2 linked regions of the Oryzias latipes genome follow. The protein of the gene in region 1 interacts with the protein of each later gene in a biochemical or structural test. Links are inferred from orthologs where the notes say so. Each region holds a gene or a part of one and is shown in the gene's direction. Other genes may lie near its edges.

The links.
Region 2: the proteins of nhlrc1 (region 1) and epm2a form a complex in vitro, tested with the Homo sapiens proteins (3 studies listed by BioGRID, with this or other methods). The link is inferred for Oryzias latipes from reciprocal best matches to the Homo sapiens genes NHLRC1 and EPM2A.

What each region holds. Positions count from the first base shown.
Region 1 is NC_019874.2:16,428,791-16,432,339, reverse strand, and holds nhlrc1 (E3 ubiquitin-protein ligase NHLRC1), read left to right. Parts: upstream 1-1,193; 5' UTR 1,194-1,385; coding exon 1,386-2,594; 3' UTR 2,595-3,049; downstream 3,050-3,549. UniProt on the Homo sapiens protein: E3 ubiquitin-protein ligase. Together with the phosphatase EPM2A/laforin, appears to be involved in the clearance of toxic polyglucosan and protein aggregates via multiple pathways.
Region 2 is NC_019882.2:8,655,347-8,659,300, forward strand, and holds the start of epm2a (laforin), read left to right. Parts: upstream 1-1,154; 5' UTR 1,155-1,280; coding exon 1,281-1,527; intron 1,528-1,930; exon of another isoform or gene 1,931-1,959; coding exon 1,960-2,134; intron 2,135-3,954. UniProt on the Homo sapiens protein: Plays an important role in preventing glycogen hyperphosphorylation and the formation of insoluble aggregates, via its activity as glycogen phosphatase, and by promoting the ubiquitination of proteins involved in glycogen metabolism via its interaction with the E3 ubiquitin ligase NHLRC1/malin.

The sequences.
Region 1 (3,549 bases):
CGGAGGTTTTTTTTTTTTTTTTTTTTTAAGACATGATGTAATGATGCAAAGCACAGTTGAAGCACTTTGCAGAATGTTTCCGGTAAGACTGTATTGATTTGTAATGGTTCAGTATTTTTGTGGGTCATTGTGATTTTGAGTGACTTCCCCGTGCCCCCCCCCTCCCTTTTGTGGCTGCTATCATTTTTATTTGTACATTTTACTGGAGTGACAAAAGAGGGCAATTATTCTCATTATTGCATGTGTCGTCGACTTTTTTCCTGTTGGTGTGTTAATGGCATTTTTAATATACAACTGCACGACTGCTTCCAATCAAACGGTTTGGTCCAAACTTGTTCTAGAGCCGCACATCGCTTGCCTTTTGTCGTCATGTTTTTTTATTTTATTTCACCCCTTGTGCCTGTTATTGCGTAGAAATTTGTTTGTGTGTGTGTGTGTGTTATCATTTGTGTGTGCTTTGTTGAAAGTCGATGGTCTTTAAAACGATCAGTATCATCTCTGAACTGACACGGCCCTCACGATTCTTGACAATCCAGTCAGTGACTGAAGAACCGGGCTCGTGTTTGACTGCAGGCATTGGAAAGGGTACACTGTTTGTGGAGTTGGATTGTTTGTGGAGCCAAAAAAAAAAAAATTCAGAAAAAGATTATCGCTGTTGTGAACTGTGAATTATGGCAGCCCATTAAAAAGTTTTACATTTCCTCAAGTGAATTGTGTATAATTTCTGGCTCAGGAATTAGATTGAAACCATATGTTATTTGACTTTAGTCTCTATTCTTTTATTTTTTTTTACCAAGAGTAACTTTGAAATGTTCTTCCTGGAATCCAGAAGGGCATTGTGCTGCAAAGAACTTCTGGATTGGCTGACTGGAGCACTGTCCAACCGGGCTCAGATTTCCCTCAGTCTGCACACTGTGAAGCTCAGACTGAAATAGCTGTTTCAAGTTGACCTACACAGGATGGTTAGATTTTCTTGTTTTGAATTCAGCTCCAGTAAAGCATTTTATTGTGCAACAAAAAAAGTAGTATCTGAGAGGAACTGGAGTTGAGCATGATTATTATGTAAATTATGATATTAAGTGAATCAGTTTTGCTGTTTTCCACTGTGCTTTTGATTTTTTTAAATATTTTCCTCAAGATTTGAAGGAACATTGGTCACAAAATGACTTTAAAATGTGCAAACTGATTTCCAGTGGAGGGCAGCAGAGAACCTTTGTTGAATTTAAGATACCACGTGACCAAGTAGGCCTCAAAGCAGGAGGCACGTGTTTACACAGTACCATGGAGGCCCTGTGCTCTCACCATGCATCTCACTGAGCTTTTGGTTGTCAGTCTGTGTGAGCTAACTAAATAATTAAAGAATCCATAGGAGCGTATCATTCACCATGGACAAGAGTCCTGGTCTCCCAGGATGTAGCTACCTGAATCCAGAGAGGACGCTCGGAGAGATCCGGATCAACTTGCTGGAGTGCAAAGTCTGCTTTGAGCCATTTAATTCTGAGCAGAGAGGAAGAAGACCGCAAAACCTTTGCTGTGGCCATGTTCTCTGCCTGGAATGCATCACGGCTTTGTCCCACCCTCTTCTAGGGAAGCTGGAGTGCCCATTCTGTCGACAGCTGTGCAGTGTTGACAGCACATCTCCATGCCAGGCTCTTAATGACTTGCAAGAGCTTGTATTGCCATGGAGGCCTTCTTCCCCCGATCGTCCTCACAGAACCTCTAGTCTGACTCGCGCAGCTCTGCAGCTGCAAACTTCTTTTGGGGGATGGGGGACTCTGATCAACCCCACTGGAATTGCTGCTTTGGGGTCTTCTGGGACATTAGTTATTGTCCACGATGGAGAGAAAAGGGTGGTGGTTTTCAGCACACTGGGAAGGAAACTGCACAGTTTTGGGAAAAGAGGAAAAGCCGTGGGAGAAATCTGTTTCCCAATGGATGTGGCGGTGACTCCTGCTGGCTGCGTTGTAGTGACAGATCCAGGAGACAGAGCTGTCAAGGTTTTCACCTCCAGGGGGGATCATTTAATAACAATCAAGGACTCCTTCCAGTTGCCCTGGGGTGTAGACATACACATCTCTGGGCACCTCCTAGTCTCAGACGCTCAGGCTGGAGTACTGACCAGGATGAAAGTGGACTACAGTCAACGTGTCATTGTAGAGTGTCATAAAGCCATCTCAGATCTTCAGTGTCCCAGAGCGGTGGCATGTTGTCGGCTGACTGGAAACACGGCGGTGATGGAGCACCCAACTGACGTCCCACATCCCGCAGAGGGACGCCCATACAGACGGCTGAGAGTATTTACAAAAGACTTCCACCTCATTTACCAGACGGACAGTTTCAGCCTGACTCTGCAGTCAACAGTACAGCTGAACATGTCAGCTTTGAGCTTTGATAGAGATGGAGCTGTAATAGTGACAGATCCTTATCAGGGGTTTATTTGGAGTTTAGGGAAGCTTGAAAATGGCCCAGTTCTAACTCCTATTGTTGGTAATCATCTTATCAGACCTGTTAGTTTGGTGTTACTAAATGACATGCTCATCACTCTGGATGGTGGTGACCACACAGTCAAGATTTTCTCTAATAAACCTGAATAAAGCATATGCTTACAAAACATGTTAGATCTGAACCCAGACCCATTTTTCATTAGAGCAATACTATGCGGGATCTACTGTACCACTGACCAAGTGGATCTCAGAACACATTTCTGATGTCTTTCTCTTACACATGTCGCCATTGGTTCTTATTAGTTAAATTGATGATTTGTCAAAATTTGGATAGATTTTTCCCGGATGAGATTTGTCCAGTATCTTTGTAGTTCGTGCATTTGTTATAACTTTAAGCTTAAAAAGACCTCCACCACTGGGAAATAAGTAATATTTGTAAGGCATTAAAGGGAGTCATCAGTATTATATGCCAAACATGACAGTGTTGGGTGTGTGGATGTAGTTAGCTAGGAATGTATGCAGTTTTTTGAATTCTAAACCGTTATAAAATGTATGCAGAAATAAAAATTATTCCCACTCCAATCCTCTTTAGATCTATTGTAAAAGCTTTCCAAGTAGTCTTTTATTTACAATTATTGAGTTTTTAGGCAAAATGAAAAAAAAAAAACGGTCATTTTCTAGGACATAGAGCGATGGTAGATCCTTAGAATTTGCCTCTAATTAAACAGACATCCTTCTGTTTACACTTTCTCATGTTAGCTTACATCCCAGCAACATCCCCCAATCTAACATTACTGGTGCTGCAAAAATGGTGAGCAATTTTGCAGCTATCCAGCCAAACCGTTTTGAGCCAGATGCCATGAAGGAAAAGGAAGATAGTCATAGATCTATTTGTCTGCAAGTGGATACATCCCAATGGTGCGGAGAATGGGGCTTGTGACCTACCATTTGTAGCACCTACATCATGACAACATGCCGTTTTCCAACTGCATTTTTTTGTCTGCTTCTGATTCACAACAATTTGAATAAAGTTGTTGTTGTTCACCCTTAGGCAAATCCTTTCAGAGGTTGCCACAGTAAATCAGCTTTCACTAATTCCCACAAG
Region 2 (3,954 bases), on another chromosome or scaffold:
CTTGCAGATGGCAATGTTGGTATGAGGCAACCCCGCCCCCCTTCCCCTCTCTGTTGCTTAGAACTTGGAGCAGAGAGCTTGTGGCCCACCCAGCATATTTTCTACGTCCCAAATTTGCTCTTTTTCAAACTGCATTTTCTCATCTGCTGATCCACAACAATCTGAATCATTAAAATACCCAGAAATGCCATTTTCCATGAGCAATTTTCAAAAAATATATATATGACCTCCGTAATCAGAAAAATGTCACATAAACAAGTTAAAAAGACAAAAATCATGATTTTCATTGGAATGGGTTATAAATGGCTTCCTTGAAAGCGCTTGTTGGGATGAAATGTTAAATATGAACAACTTCACTGGCTTTTTAACGGTTTGGTCTTGCATAAAGACACATACATGTGTAGAGTGTCGTTATGTTATCAGGACTGAACAAGGATGCCTAGATTGTAACAGGAAGAGTATCTGAATTTAAGGGCTTGTAGTGCCAGAAGGCAACACTTTGGACTACCACAGCTAAATGGGAACCATGAAGAGGCCAAAAGGGAAGCAGCAACTGTCAAACACCTACACAGAATAAAGCAAGCCTAGGGACGTCTGCAGGATGGGAAAACAAAGTGCTGGGTGTCAATAATTATGTCCTATCAATCATCAGATTCCCTGCTGGCATGATAAGTTGTGATGCATGGAGGGTTTCATCCCAAATCCATAAGACTGTGCTATACAGAAGTTCCAAGCTCAAGATGGGAAACAGCTCTAAAGGCAAAGCTGTGAATGCTCAAGATAACACCCTGTGGTACTTTCAAATAAACAAAGATGATGGATGGATGGATTGATGGATGGATGCAACCTTCCACATTTACTCAACTTGTGGTGGCAAATGTACCTGATTGTGCCCCCTTGTGGTTACATTGAGTGTTGAATTAAATTATTAAACCAAATTTCCGTTTTTGTGTAATTTGTTTCTATTAAGTGTGTATGGTTTTGAGCTTGAAGAGCATGATTTTAAAAATGTACTTATTCATTTAAAATTCAGTCTAATAAAACAGTCAGAATATTCACACGTACTGCAGTGTTTACAACAGCATTTATGATCCAAATAGCTTTTGGTTTCAGAATTTGTTGACCGAGTGAGCCTTCTTTCTTTTTATTCAGTCTTTGCAGACGCTGAAGTCCAAAACACCGCTATTTTTAGCCCGCAGCAGACAGTCAGCAGAACAAAATGAGATAAAATCACAACCACTAGAACTGCAACGTCACATTTATTTATAAACTCCCCCACCATGCTGTTCAGGTTCGGAGTCGTTCTTTCTCCACAGTCTTCGCACGTGGAGCTTTTAGTTTCGGGCTCGCGTGAAGAAATGGGCCATTGGGACCCGAGTAGAGCGGTACAGATGAAGGCTTCGCTCCAGATCCCGTCACCTGACGAGCCCTGTCTGTGGACCGGAGAGGTGGAGCTGGCAGAGCCCGTCAAAGATCCGTTCTGGTTCAAGTTTATTCAAAGGGTCAGAGGCGGTTTTGTTTGGGAAGGTACAACACATTCGATTTTCCCAAAGCAACGTTAAAAAAACCTTTTCAAAATTTGCCATATTTAATGCAACTAGTGTAATGTACCTTTACAACCACGAGAGGGCGACACAGTAACGTTTGTTAATTAGGGACCTCGTTTTCTTCAACTCAAAAACATCCTGCAAAGCTGCATTTTCTGTTGCCTGAGGATATGAAAAACAATTTGTCTCCCCCTCTAAATGTCACAAAATTGTCTTTGCTAGAGGGTGAAAATATGTCAACAATGCAGCAGATTATGGTGATATTCATGACTTTGTTGCTCCAAATAGAGGATTTCTTGTGGATTACGTTTTGGAATCAATCATGGATATGACTGACATGTAGAAGTCCCACAACATTCGTTAGAGGGAATTAGCTTACAAACCTTGCAGAAAATATGTGGTCTGTGTCCAGGTAGTGGTCCCAGCCATGACAGATGCTGCTCCTATGATGACAGGAACGTGGTGGATGGAGTGTACTGCCATCCGATTGATCACTGGATCGAGAAAACAGGACACACGAATGAGATGAAACACACCACAGACTTTTACTTCAGGGTGGCCGGTCAGATGGCCATGCATTTCTCCAGGTAAGTTAAAATAATAGGAGAATGCATTGTAAAATGCAATACTCTATTTATTTTATATAAGATGGTAAAGTGGTTTAGAAATTATGTATTTCTGCCTACAAATCATTAAAAAGCAGGAAAAGCTTTGTTTTTTCAATGATTAAAAATAAAATAAAATACAGTGGAAGGTTCCACCAGCATCCAACCCTCCTGATGAGAAGGGGGATGTAAGAAGTTTAAGGAAAATACTTTATCCTTCTGTGGTTCATAATACCCTTCAAAAGATTAGGAGAATAAGGAGAAACATTTCATTTTTAAGTAGAAACTGTTACTAAGTGACTGATCTTCAGGGCCTGAGGCGGGACGGCATTAACGCGCTCACAATAGAGGTGTTTTTCAAAGTAAAAGTCTTTAGAAGCTGCCAGGGTTTTATAACAGCCTCGACCTAAGGTTTGTTTGGACTTAAAAAAACTTCTGTAACTCTCAACTTTTAAAGATTGATTTTGGATCCAACACTGTGACTATTACTGAGTTAATTTGTGGCACAATAATTACAGAATTATACTAAAAATAGACTTTTATTTTTGAGACTTGAAGTTTAGCATAACAATGACCAAACATTTTTCAGCCTCAATACCACCTTAAGACCTCACAGTGAACCTAAGATTACAGACAGTTGCTTTGCTCTCCAGACCTGTCTGAAACAAACATTAGAACAATAAAAGGCCCTGATTTAAAAATCAATAACTTCAAATGAAACACAGGGATTTTTTTGAAGGGCCAGTTATTGATCTCCTCGGTTCCTATAAATCACAGCTTTGCTCGAAAAACAAGACTTGATGCAGGAAATCAAATTTATTTCATACCAAATGGAAAAATAAAACACTAAAATGTCAGCGTTGGTGGTCTGTAGAACTTATAGGCGACCTAAGGCAGACCGACTCAAACTATCACTTATTTATTGTGAACATAAACAAGAATCTCCACAAAAAAAATGCCTTAAGAAAATAAAAAAACAACAAGATTTTGACTAAGAGCAAGTCAACTTTAGTATAAGAAGTAGCAAACAGGATGCAGCTTAGTGTCAAACAGAAACCACAGGTGCAACAGGTAATACGGCTGAGCAGAATTACACATGGGAAAACTAATAAAGTTAACAAGAAAAAAAGACCCTGCATCCCACATAAGACTTTATTTTTTCTAAATTTGATGTAATTTTGTTTTAATTTTTTTTCTGAATAATTTTCTTTTCCATTTGTATTTTCCACAGTTTATGTGATGCATGCTATTTTATTTAATCCGATTAAGTATTCCCTTTAATCCAGCAGTTTTAGGTATTTTAATGCACGAGGGAAAAACTGTTCTAAGCCATTTTTTTAGCTCAATGCCCCGTTTATGTTCTCCTTTGCAAACACCTCAAGCTACAGTATGTTCATACCACACTCTGCAACGTCCGTTCCAGCAACTAATTCCAATTAAAAGTCTATGTCAATGCACATAAACGTGCGTTCAAAACTCTCACGTTCACGTGTAGCTATGCAAGTTTTTATGATCATTTTATGTAACGTGCAGCCATTAAAAGCAAGTTGAAGGCTAAAGCAGGTTGATCTTTGACCAGTCAGGGACTCAGATTTATTAGAGACCCTTTCATTTATTGAAATGCCAACTGTTTGATAATTAATCATGGAGGAGAAATGAATAATTGCGTTTTTTGAATAGAGCTGTGAAAGGAAAAAGCCTGGATTTTCAACATTTCCACCACTTTTGACATTTTGCACCAAGCCTCTTTCAACTGTAGGTGGCATACATGCGCTAGTAGAAAAAGAAGAAGAAGCCCCTCC